Drosophila melanogaster: one gene and its partner. The protein of the gene in region 2 purifies or fractionates together with the protein of the main gene of each other region. This does not show direct contact. Each region holds a gene or a part of one and is shown on either strand. Other genes may lie near its edges.

Evidence for each region.
Region 1: the proteins of PI31 (region 2) and Prosalpha7 purify together in Drosophila melanogaster (affinity purification with western blotting; 2 studies listed by BioGRID, with this or other methods). This does not show direct contact.

Annotation. Positions count from the first base shown.
Region 1 is NT_033778.4:9,846,136-9,850,132, forward strand, and holds Prosalpha7 (proteasome alpha7 subunit), read right to left. Parts: upstream 1,702-3,997; 5' UTR 1,583-1,701; coding exon 1,562-1,582; intron 1,504-1,561; coding exon 938-1,503; intron 771-937; coding exon 596-770; 3' UTR 501-595; downstream 1-500. Other genes in the region: Orc6 (origin recognition complex subunit 6), read right to left, coding at 1-138, 195-259; CG1671 (uncharacterized protein), read left to right, coding at 1,990-2,015, 2,075-3,997. UniProt on the Drosophila melanogaster protein: The proteasome is a multicatalytic proteinase complex which is characterized by its ability to cleave peptides with Arg, Phe, Tyr, Leu, and Glu adjacent to the leaving group at neutral or slightly basic pH.
Region 2 is NT_033778.4:11,966,077-11,972,549, reverse strand, and holds PI31 (proteasome inhibitor 31 kDa), read left to right. Parts: upstream 1-2,434; 5' UTR 2,435-2,524; intron 2,525-3,699; exon of another isoform or gene 3,700-3,810; intron 3,811-3,895; exon of another isoform or gene 3,896-4,070; 5' UTR 4,071-4,098; coding exon 4,099-4,266; intron 4,267-4,318; coding exon 4,319-4,713; intron 4,714-4,770; coding exon 4,771-5,020; 3' UTR 5,021-5,207; downstream 5,208-6,473. Other genes in the region: ADD1 (ADD domain-containing protein 1), read right to left, coding at 1-825, 944-1,412, 1,475-1,568; exp (expansion), read right to left, coding at 6,349-6,473.

The DNA of each region.
Region 1 (3,997 bases), 2.1 Mb from region 2:
GCCTGCTCCTTGTCGAAAGCGATCCCAATCATGCAGGAAGCGAGATCCGCACACAGCACTATCTTTCCGTACTCGTTGATCTGCAGAGGGACATTCGTGGAGCGCAGTTCCAGGAGGCGTACTAGTTCGGTGGTTTTCCTGAAAGGATTCGATCTTACTGGGTAAACCTTTAAAACTATTTATTTATCGCTTACTCTAGCACGTTTGGCTCCTCCCTTAGGCCCATTTTCGTAATTAACTGTTCTATTAAGGTAGTCATTGTAGTTATTAACAATAGACTGAAATTCCAGTCGTGCGTCGTTAAAACCAAAATAAAGTACAACAAATGGCGCGAAATGCATCAGCTGTGAGCGATAAGGTTTTTCTTTGTAGCAATCGAGGTTTAATAGCTGCAGGCACATTCAAAAGGAACCAGATCCGATAACCAGCGAGCCAATATATTTATATCGAACGATAACTATTAAAGAATGAGAGTATAAAAATATAAAAACCTTAAATTTCACCCGATTTTGTTTATTCATTTTGCGCTTTAGGGAAATATAAAATTAACATTATGTATGAGGCCCAGAATTAGATTCACTGGCACACAAACGAACTAGTGCGTCTCATTGTCGCTGTCTTCGTCCTTGTTGGCCGCATCGCCGGCTTTCCTCGCCTTCTCCGTCAGTTCTGAGGGATTTATGAGATGTAGGCCACCGGTTACCCTGCCCACCAAACCCATTTCGAAGCGGAAGTCCTTGTCCTTCAACTCGTCATGGACTTTGTAGATGCTAAGACATAGGATAGATATGTTAATTATGAATAAAAACCTAGATTCTAAGTGCAATAGATGTCCCAAAAATGCTTCCTATTGTCAGAGCAAGTAAGTTTCCACTCGGAACTAGGATAAAGCCCGCCCGATTTTTGAAACAGTCCCTTTTTTTTGCTGTAAACGTACATTTCACCAGCGCTCTCCACCAATTCGTCGGTCCTCATATCCATCTTGAGCTTCTCCATCTCAGTCTTGGCCAGCTGCTTGGCCTTGCCGCTGGCGCAGGCGAAGTAACCGAAGGAGGAGCCGGACGGCTCGATCTTGTAGAGCTGTGGCCCCTCTACTTCGTCCCAGGAGGCGAGAATGATGGAAAGTCCGAAGGGGCGGACGGCACTGTACAGAGTGTAGGCGTGAACGTAGCCGGCGACTCGGTGGCACAGGTGTTTAAGCGGGATAGCCTGCTCAAATTGCTGTCTGTAGTTGGCTGCCTCCTGACGCGCAATGTCAGCCACAAAGTTTCCATCGGCCACCAAGCCGGCCACCGCCATTCCGATGTTCTTTTCGATGGTGAAGATGCGTCCGCCGGCGTCTGGTTCGTACAGTTTACTGGTGATGATCTTCTCCACGGCCAGCACCACGGCGTCCTTGCCCCGAATCCCGATTACGGTGCCGCTCTTCTCCACCGCCTTTGAGGCGTAGTCGATCTGGAAAACGCGGCCATCAGGCGAAAACTGCGAGGCCGACAAGTCGTACTGGAAGCGAGAGGGTGACGTTAGGGATCTGCAGATATGTAGTTCGCTGACCACTTACTCCAGTGCCAATAGTACTCATAGCGAAGACTTTGTGAAAATTTAAACAATTCAAACGCAAAAATTAGTTTAATTCCTTGGGTCGAATGCGACGATGATTTGACGGCTTTTACTTGGCTAGTGGTGGACAAAACAAAGGGGCCTATCGGTCAAGGAGGTTCGATAGTTTCGGAACGACTATCGTCAATAAAAACCAATCGTATACCAATCGCGATTTTTTCAGATAAAATTCGAATGATTAAAAATAAATCACCAATTCATGGTACTTTATTTATTTAGCACAGTTGAAGTTAATATCATTCTTTTCTTTTCTACTTATACATTTCGAATATCCCCTTACATGCTCTGTAAAGTAACATTTCGAACTAGTTCCGTTCATGTTCTGATCCGCGGCGCACGCGGTTTTTGTATTTATAAACAACGAAAATCATGCTGGCGGGTATCAGCGAGAAAAGGTAACATAAACTTAATAATTACCTGATGATTGCAAGACTACAACAATTTTAAAATCCAGCTATGCGGCGGAGGCCCGCTACACGAACTTCTACGCCGGCGGCGACATCGCCTGGAGCCCGAATGGCCATCATCTTTACTGCCTCAATGGCTCAGCTGTAAACCAGGTGGATGTGCAGACCTCCCAAATCCTAAATAGCTACGGCTTGTCTTCCCCGTCGGCGGATAACAAGAGGCCGGCGGAGCTGGACAATATCGATGTGGAGGAGGATACGATTACTTGCTTCGGGCTGTCACAGGAGCATCTGGTTACTGCCCATCGAAGTGGCCTGCTTAGGCTGTGGCAGCTGGACACTGGGAAGCTGGTGAAGCTGTGGAAGGCGCAGCACAAGGGACCAGTCATCCGAGTTGAGTTTAGTCCCTGCGGCAGGCTTATCTGCACCAGCGGCGGTGCAGATGCCACACTGAGGCTGTGGGACTACTCGAACAACAGCTGTCTGGGTGCCCTCAAGGATTTCCCTGGTCCCGCTTGGCTCCTCGTCTTTCATCCCAATGTGCTGCGCAAAGAGATCTACGCCGGAGGTTCGGATAACACTGTCTATGCCTGGAACTACGAGACGAAGACACTTGTGCACAAGATGCGAGGTCACCTGTCGCAAGTCACCGGCTTGAGCTTTAAGAGCAACGCGTCCGACTGCAATGAAATCGTGACTGTAAGCCGGGACAAGGTTATGATCGTGTGGCAATTGCAGGAGCAGTTGGAAAGCAAGCAGTTGAAGGTTCTTCCCTTGTACGATGAGCTTGAGGGAGTCGTGTACGCAGACGAGGGACAACTGATAATCGTGGCGAGCGGATCGGGCAAGCTGCAACAGGTCGACCCTAAATCTTGGAAGATCAGGGATATTCTTTCTCAATCTGATTTCCAAATTAGTAGACTGCTGCACTGCAGCGAGCTAAAACAGCTGGCCCTGGTCACTACAGAGCAGAATATTTTGGTCTACGACGTTGAAACCCTGGAACCCATTAAACACTTGGTGGGTTACAACGACGAGATCCTAGACATGTGCTTTATGGGCGAACACGATCGCTACCTGGCCGTTGCCACCAACAGCAAGCACTTCAAGCTGTACGACACGGAACACGACATGAATTGCAAGCTGATCGTGGGTCACTCGGATACGGTAATGTCCCTTGCTGCATCCCAAAATCTGCTGATTTCGGTGGGAAAGGACTGCAGCGTTCGGCTTTGGAGGCTTCAGCACGACAAAGATTGCTCGCTTGAGGCTCTGACTCAACAGGCCAACTGCCACACGTCCACTATCGGTTGCGTGGCCATGACGCACAACGGAGCTACTGGCTTTGCATCCGTGAGCCAAGATGGCAGCATGAAGGTATGGCAGCTCGTCAGAAGTAAGGAGGATCGCAACTCGTACTCTTTCAACCTGCGCTACGCAGCGCTTTCCCACGACAAGGAGGTGAACTGCGTTGCATATGCTCCGAATAACAAGCTTATTGCTACCGCGTCGCAAGACAAGACGGCTAAGGTGTGGCTGGCGGAGTCCAACACGCTGCAAGGAGTGTTGCGGGGACACACCCGCGGTGTGTGGAGTGTGCGCTTCTCTCCGGTGGATCAGATCGTGCTCACCTCATCGTCGGACTGTACTCTCCGCATCTGGTCCATCAGCAATTTTTCGTGCATAAAACGTTTCGATCAGGAGTGCACCATACTGAGAGCCGAGTTCCTGGATCACGGCAAGTTCATTATCTCCGCTGCTTCGGATGGCCTTCTTAAGCTGTGGAATATCAAGACCAACACATGTCTGCAGTCCCTGGACGAGCACAACGATAGGGTTTGGGCGCTGGCCGTATCCGCCAGGAGCAATCGGTTCTTTTACACCGGCGGCGCGGACTCCAAGCTGATTCGCTTCGGTGATGTCACTCAGGTGACGCGAAACGAAGCGCTGGACAAGCGGCAGGCCGCATT
Region 2 (6,473 bases):
CTGATATGCAGTGAAGGTCTATTAGTCGTAATTGGAGCTCGAGGTCGGATAACCACACCCGGACCCACTTGAGGAACGACCAAAGCAGGCGGTGTTGGTGGTGTTGGTACTGTTGATGCCGGCTGAATTGTCTGTGGTACCTGACGTTTTACCTGAATTAGTCTACCATTGGGCAGGCGATAGGAATCCTGTTGTGCAGCGCTATTTAAATCTACTTTGAACCCATTGATTGTGTGAAAGACTGGCCCAGTGGTTTTTACAGAGTTGGGAACCACAGTACGACGTACCACACCAGAGACCCCACCAGGGGCATTCTGGCGGTAGCGGATTCCAGATCCACTGAGAACCAAGGGAGGTGGCAGGCTACTACGTGTCGGTGGCACTGATGAAGAACCACTTACGCTTCCGTTGCTGCCGCTGTTGCTGGAACTTTGTCCCGGTTGGTAGTTCTGTTGGACGGTGACAATCCTCGGAGTGGTGATATTTGCCGCTGTCACCGTCTGACGTCCAGTAGGCTTGGGCGTCACAGAGAGCTGGCAATCCGGCTCCAGCATGCTGAGCAGATCCGGTGTGCAGACCACTTCGTTGTTGGAAGCTTTAGCGCGCTTGGATGGTGGTCCCGGAGGAATGGTTTTTGGCATGGATCCCCGTTTACTCGAGCCCGCTGAGCTGCCCTGGCTGCGTTTGGAGACATTGGACTCCAAGCTTTCCATCGAGTCGGATAAGCTGCTGGTTTTCGACTTCGCCAAGCGACAGCAATTGCTGTTATCCTTAAGCATTTGACGTCGGGCCTCCACCTCGGGAAGCTGAAGGGTTTGTAGGGCCCTGCATTACATTAAATAAGAAAAGTCAATTTAGAAAGAGATTAATCACTATGATAAGTGAATGAATGAAAAGACTTAAAGATGCCATAAGCATAGACAAGTAGGACTAAAAACCGCACCTTTTCTGCGTCTGAAGATAGTTGACCAGCGCCCAGTGTTGGGCTCGTAGTGGCCACAGGATCTTGGAGGTGCAGCTGAAGCAGTTCCAGTTCTCGTTTTGCTCGATGTCCACGATGACGCCCTTGGAGAGGTTCTTCACGATGCACGACTTGCAGAAGACGTAGGGGCAAGTGGAGCAGCAGTATACCTCGCCGCCCTGTCCGCACCAGCGGCAGTACAGCTCAGAGCCATCCTCGCCCTTGGAGAACTCGCCGCTGTTGTAAAAATCGTGGCACTTGACGCAGTGCGTCACCCGCAGTATGGGATGCATCTTGATGTTGCTCTCGGCGGCGGGTGCTGTGCCCAGGTGAAGCTTGCACACGGTGCAGTGCACCTTTCGCTGGTTCACCAGATCTACGTTGGGGTACATCTTCAGGTAGAAGCGGCGCTCCTCGTCTGAAAGCGAGGGGTGCATCTCGAACTTGGAGCCTGCGTTGCGGGTATATGCAATTTATATGCAATTTTCCACTTGGCTGATGCCCAGTACTCACTCGTGAAATCCGCATCCAATTTGGCCAGTGGCGATGGCGACGGCGTCGCTACCTTTGCCAGGCCACTTTCGCTACCCGGAGCACTGTTACTCATGACTTCTGTTCCGTATCCGGGCCTCTTGGACTAGAGCACTGCGATCCGCACCAATTTTTGTTCTAAAACGCGAAAAATTCACGATTTTCTGCTGCCGCCGCAGAAAAAAGCGGCGCGCTTATCACTTTTATGTTTGGCAACACAATAACAACAGGGCTGCAAGGGACGCGTGTTTACAATTATTTATTAGTTGGGCAAACCGGGAAAAAATATTATTGGGAGATCCTGTACTGAATGCTTCGCAGCAAGTCTCCTCGAAAATGTGTCAGATTTTTTCACCCGAGAAAGACAGCTGAATATTCCGCATCAAATTCAATATGGCTGCCCCTTCGGGTTCCAGCCGAAGTAGGCTCTACGAAGTCTATATAACAAGTTCGGACCGATACTCTAAAATTTTCTTAGGAAAACATGGCTAAAATTTTGATCAAAAAGAATATTTCTTTTTTTTTGGCATCAGAGGATCATTAAATTAGCTATAATATCACTCTAATATCACAACATTTATTGTAAATTTTTTTTAATCATTTCTATCGTTTTAAAGGCTGATAAATATATTTTATATTTTAAAGAATGTTTTCGTATTCGTTAGTCTTTGCAAGCCTTGGCAACCCTAAACTTACTAGTCATCTCTTTTACACTCATCGTCCGTCCATAAGAATCCGAACGCGTTAAGAAAGAGACAGCATATATGTGTTATTTACGAAAAACAAGAATTTTTTAAACAAATCAATATTCCAAATTGCTTTATATTTTTAACGTTTTAATTTCTCCCGCATAAGAAATATTTGAGATATCTAAAGCATTTGGCGAACTGGTTCCAGGCAATCGATATATGTGAGACCGTATAAACATATCGAGTTAACAGAATTAGTAAATCATGACTTCACATAAAATCATTAAAACAAGTTTTCAGAACGCAACAACTGATCTTCAGACAACTTTTAAAAATAAATCAAGTAAGATTTTGGAAACATAAATTCCACAATGTCAAAATATCAGTAAAAATAACTTAAAGTAACTCGAATAACTTGAACGAGGAAATCTTAATGAATAGTTGATCAAAATAATCAGTCAGAAATAGGGAATTTTATAATTGTACACATATTAGTAAGTCGTAAGGTTTCGTATTATGAACATGTAGATGTTGTACTAAGCATTTCCTATTACTATTTTAAATATATAAATATATAAATAGACATTTATATATAAGAATTTCTTTATTACAAAGTCAATTGATAGTCGCTCATCGTTTCTATGTTACAATTACTGTTTACTTTTCTTGACTTCTTCAAAATATTTAAAATATGAACATATGGATCACATTAGAAATTTAATAAATCTTTTATGTCTGGTATTTACGATATAAGCAAATTTATAACTAGCCCGAAGCAAATTCTGAATCCTTTGAAATACCTTGACAATTATGTTGCTAGTATTAAGTTAATGTTTTTATTATTTATTTATATATTTTTATTAATGTTTGTTCTACTCTCACAAAATTTTGTATATTAAAAGATTTAATATATGAAATCTGTATCGATAACTATATCGATAAATCACATTGAGATATTAGAAAATTGAAAAAGGCAATAAATTTTTTCCAGTTTTAATAAATAGTGATGGGAAACTATCGATAGTTGCGCCATTCGATATTTTCGATGTTTGGAGAGCAAATTTTCGATATAACTTTAAAATAATAAAAATATTAGCAATTTTAAATGTTTTTCTCAAATAGGTATAGTTACCTTCCAATATTCTAGAGGATCTGTATTTTCCTCTGAGTACTTCGGATTAAAAAGCATTACAAAATTTTTCAATGTCCTACGAGATGGAAGCTTATATCGCGTATCAAATGCTTTCAGTATATCGCGAAATCCATTGTCCTCCACTACTGAAAATGTGCGCATATCAGTGGCTATGTACATACTTCATGATAACTCGCCGAGTTCTGCTATCCGACGAGAACTCGAGTCGTAGCTTGGAGTCACACATTAAAACTTTTCCACATTGTGAATATTTCGCGGTCTTACCATCAGTTGATTTAACAAAAATGAACAGCACTATCGATAGCGACAAAAAACCATCGATAGTGGCTCAGAAAAGTAAATATCCGATACCTCGATAATATCGATTATCCCAGCACTAGTTCTATTTTCACAAAGATGCAGCAATATTAACAAAGTCATTTATAATTTATTATTATTTAAACAATATAGATCCTTTTAAAAAACATTGAGCTAAGGTACGTCCAAAAGATTTAAAATAAAAATTGAGAATGTGGTGGTAACTTGCTAAAAACAACTTCTCGCTCTTTCCTCATTATTTTGTTTACAAAACTTTTAAAGCAAAGGTTGTCTTGGAAATTTATTCAGTATTTATACTTTCTGTAGTGGGCTTCAGATATTGAAACTGACGTCGCTCCAAGCAAACGAAATGTAAACATATTTATATATACTAAGCATAAATTAGAACGTTCCATTCGTTCTGTTTACTCCCACCCAGATTTTGTAAAGGATTATCGGTGGCCGCAATGGAAAGTGGGTCGACTGCCAAGACGGGCGATTTCTTTTACGGTTGGGATCTGCTGTACAAGACCGTTAAGGCTGATGTCTCCAAGAAGTCAGACCTTTTGATTGCCCTCGTCCATTTTCTTTTGACCAAGCATTACAACTTCCGATGCGTTGGCGTTGGCGATGATGTGAGTATGATTATGGCCACGCATATTAGTGAAATCATCTGGAATTCCATAGAAAACCTTGCCGGAGGAGGAGGGCAGTGAGCTGCTGCCGGACAGCTGGAATGATGACGATACCAAGTACTCGCTGCGCTACGTGCACGATAAGATGCTGTATTTGCTGCTGGGCCACATCACCGAGGGCTCCCTGCTGATCAACCTGTTGGACATCAACACTAAGAAGGTATCCAACATCTGCGTAGAACCAGAGACCCTGGTACCTGAGGTCAAGGGAGGCATCACCACCATAATGCCGAGTGCCTCAGAGATTGTTGAACGCTACCGTAGGGAGCTTCTAGACCCTGTATTCACGGGAAACTCGCGCGAAGTTACCACGCAGACGACCAACTCACCACGCCCCATTGGATCGGATCCAGATCCCTTGCGCATCGGCGAGCCAAGGCGTGGCGGGTAAGAACACTTGTGGATAGTTTTTTATACACTCGTTAATCGTTTCCCCTCGTTTAGATCCTTCATTCCAAGTGCATTCGAGCCTCGCCCTTTTGGATTTCCGGACGTTGGACGCGGGGATCTCGATCCACTGGGTCGCGGTGGTCATGGTAACCTGTTCAGCTTTCCATCACGCCCAAATATGGGCCCGGGACCCGTGCCCCGCTTCGACCCGTTCAATCCCCTGAACCCGAATAGGCCGGGACAGGGTGGAATCAATCCAGATCATATGCGCCCACCAGATTGGAATCCCGATTACTACATGTAATTACCAGGAATGCCATGTATAGTGAGCAATTCAAATCTTTAGTTTAAAGCAATGAAAAAAGTTTTCATTTTAGAAGACCAAAATTAAACGGATTGTTTTAAAAGATTATTTTTATTACGTTGCATACACAATACAGAATATTACAGAATTTTACAGATATAAAATAAAAAACAGCAGCCTGTTAGACAACGCTTGTTTGAGTTTTTACTAGAAAAATTCGTAGTTAAGAACATTTATCAAGTAAATACGCAAACAGGCCAGTTGAGTTGACGGCTGCTCAAGAGAAATTTACAATATACTTAAAAGCTTAACTGAACTCGTGATGTAATGGCTATTCATTCATTTCGTACAACAGGGTAAACAAAATTGGCTCAAGTGCGTAATCTCAAAATTGCTAGGGGAAAAGCGCGAAAAATCACGGCACTAAATGTTACAATGGTTTGCGATTACTCTTGTTTTTTTTGTTGCTGCTTATGCCTAGCCTAATATTATTTTACCATAATATTTTGCTAAATTAATATAATGTAAATAATATTTCAAGCTGTGTGCAGCCGGTTGACTTAAATTAGCTCTGCACGGTAGGCGTCGTTCCCTCTCACGCCGGGATGTGCAAGTGTTGTGGTGTGTTTTGTGCCTTGGCCGCTCAAAATCCGGCTAAAATCCCGCCCAGGTGCGGTGTGAACTACGCTCAGTCCCATTCCCCGATGAACATGCGTGGCGTGGGCACGTAGCCGCGCGTTGGCAGCGGTAAATGGCGTCCGTAGATGTGATTGTAGGGTGATTCAACAAGCTCCGAATCTACAAGAAGCACAGAAATCCGTGGTTAAAAATCGGGTGCGTGTACAATTGTCGGGATAATTATGTGTGCTGGGGTGGGTGGATTCTATTGGTAGACCCAAGCGGGTACTTGGTTGTAATCTGGTGAAGGTATTATCTGTTTAATTGCATTATCTCTTTTTTGGGATATAATGTAATGTAAGTGTATTATTCCACAGATTACAACCCACTCGTTTGAACTTTGGACTACCTCTAAAATCAGTAACCCACTCCCACTTGGTGTATGTACATTTGCGTTTCGTGACTGTCCAGGCTAGAGGAGTCCAAGGTGCTATGTTAGTAAAAGTATCGTACAGTTTAGTGGTTCTGTTCACCGGGCAAGGAGGTAACCGAGATGCGTTTGTGGGTATAATATAGCATATATGTATGTACAGCCACCCATCATCCGCTCCAAGGGGATAGGGCAACAAAAAACAATAACTAATATCGATGTCTGGGCCATATAACCTCGTTTCGATTTAGAGCAAGCCCATAGAAATTCACGTGTCCGTTTAGTAGTCGAGTATTTGGATTTTCTTCAGGCTGAGGCTGCGCGGCTTGCGGGGCTTTAGGTACCCATAAATGGATTCCATGTCGCTGATGTCAAGGCGGCTGGTACTGCGTCCGGTTCTGCTGG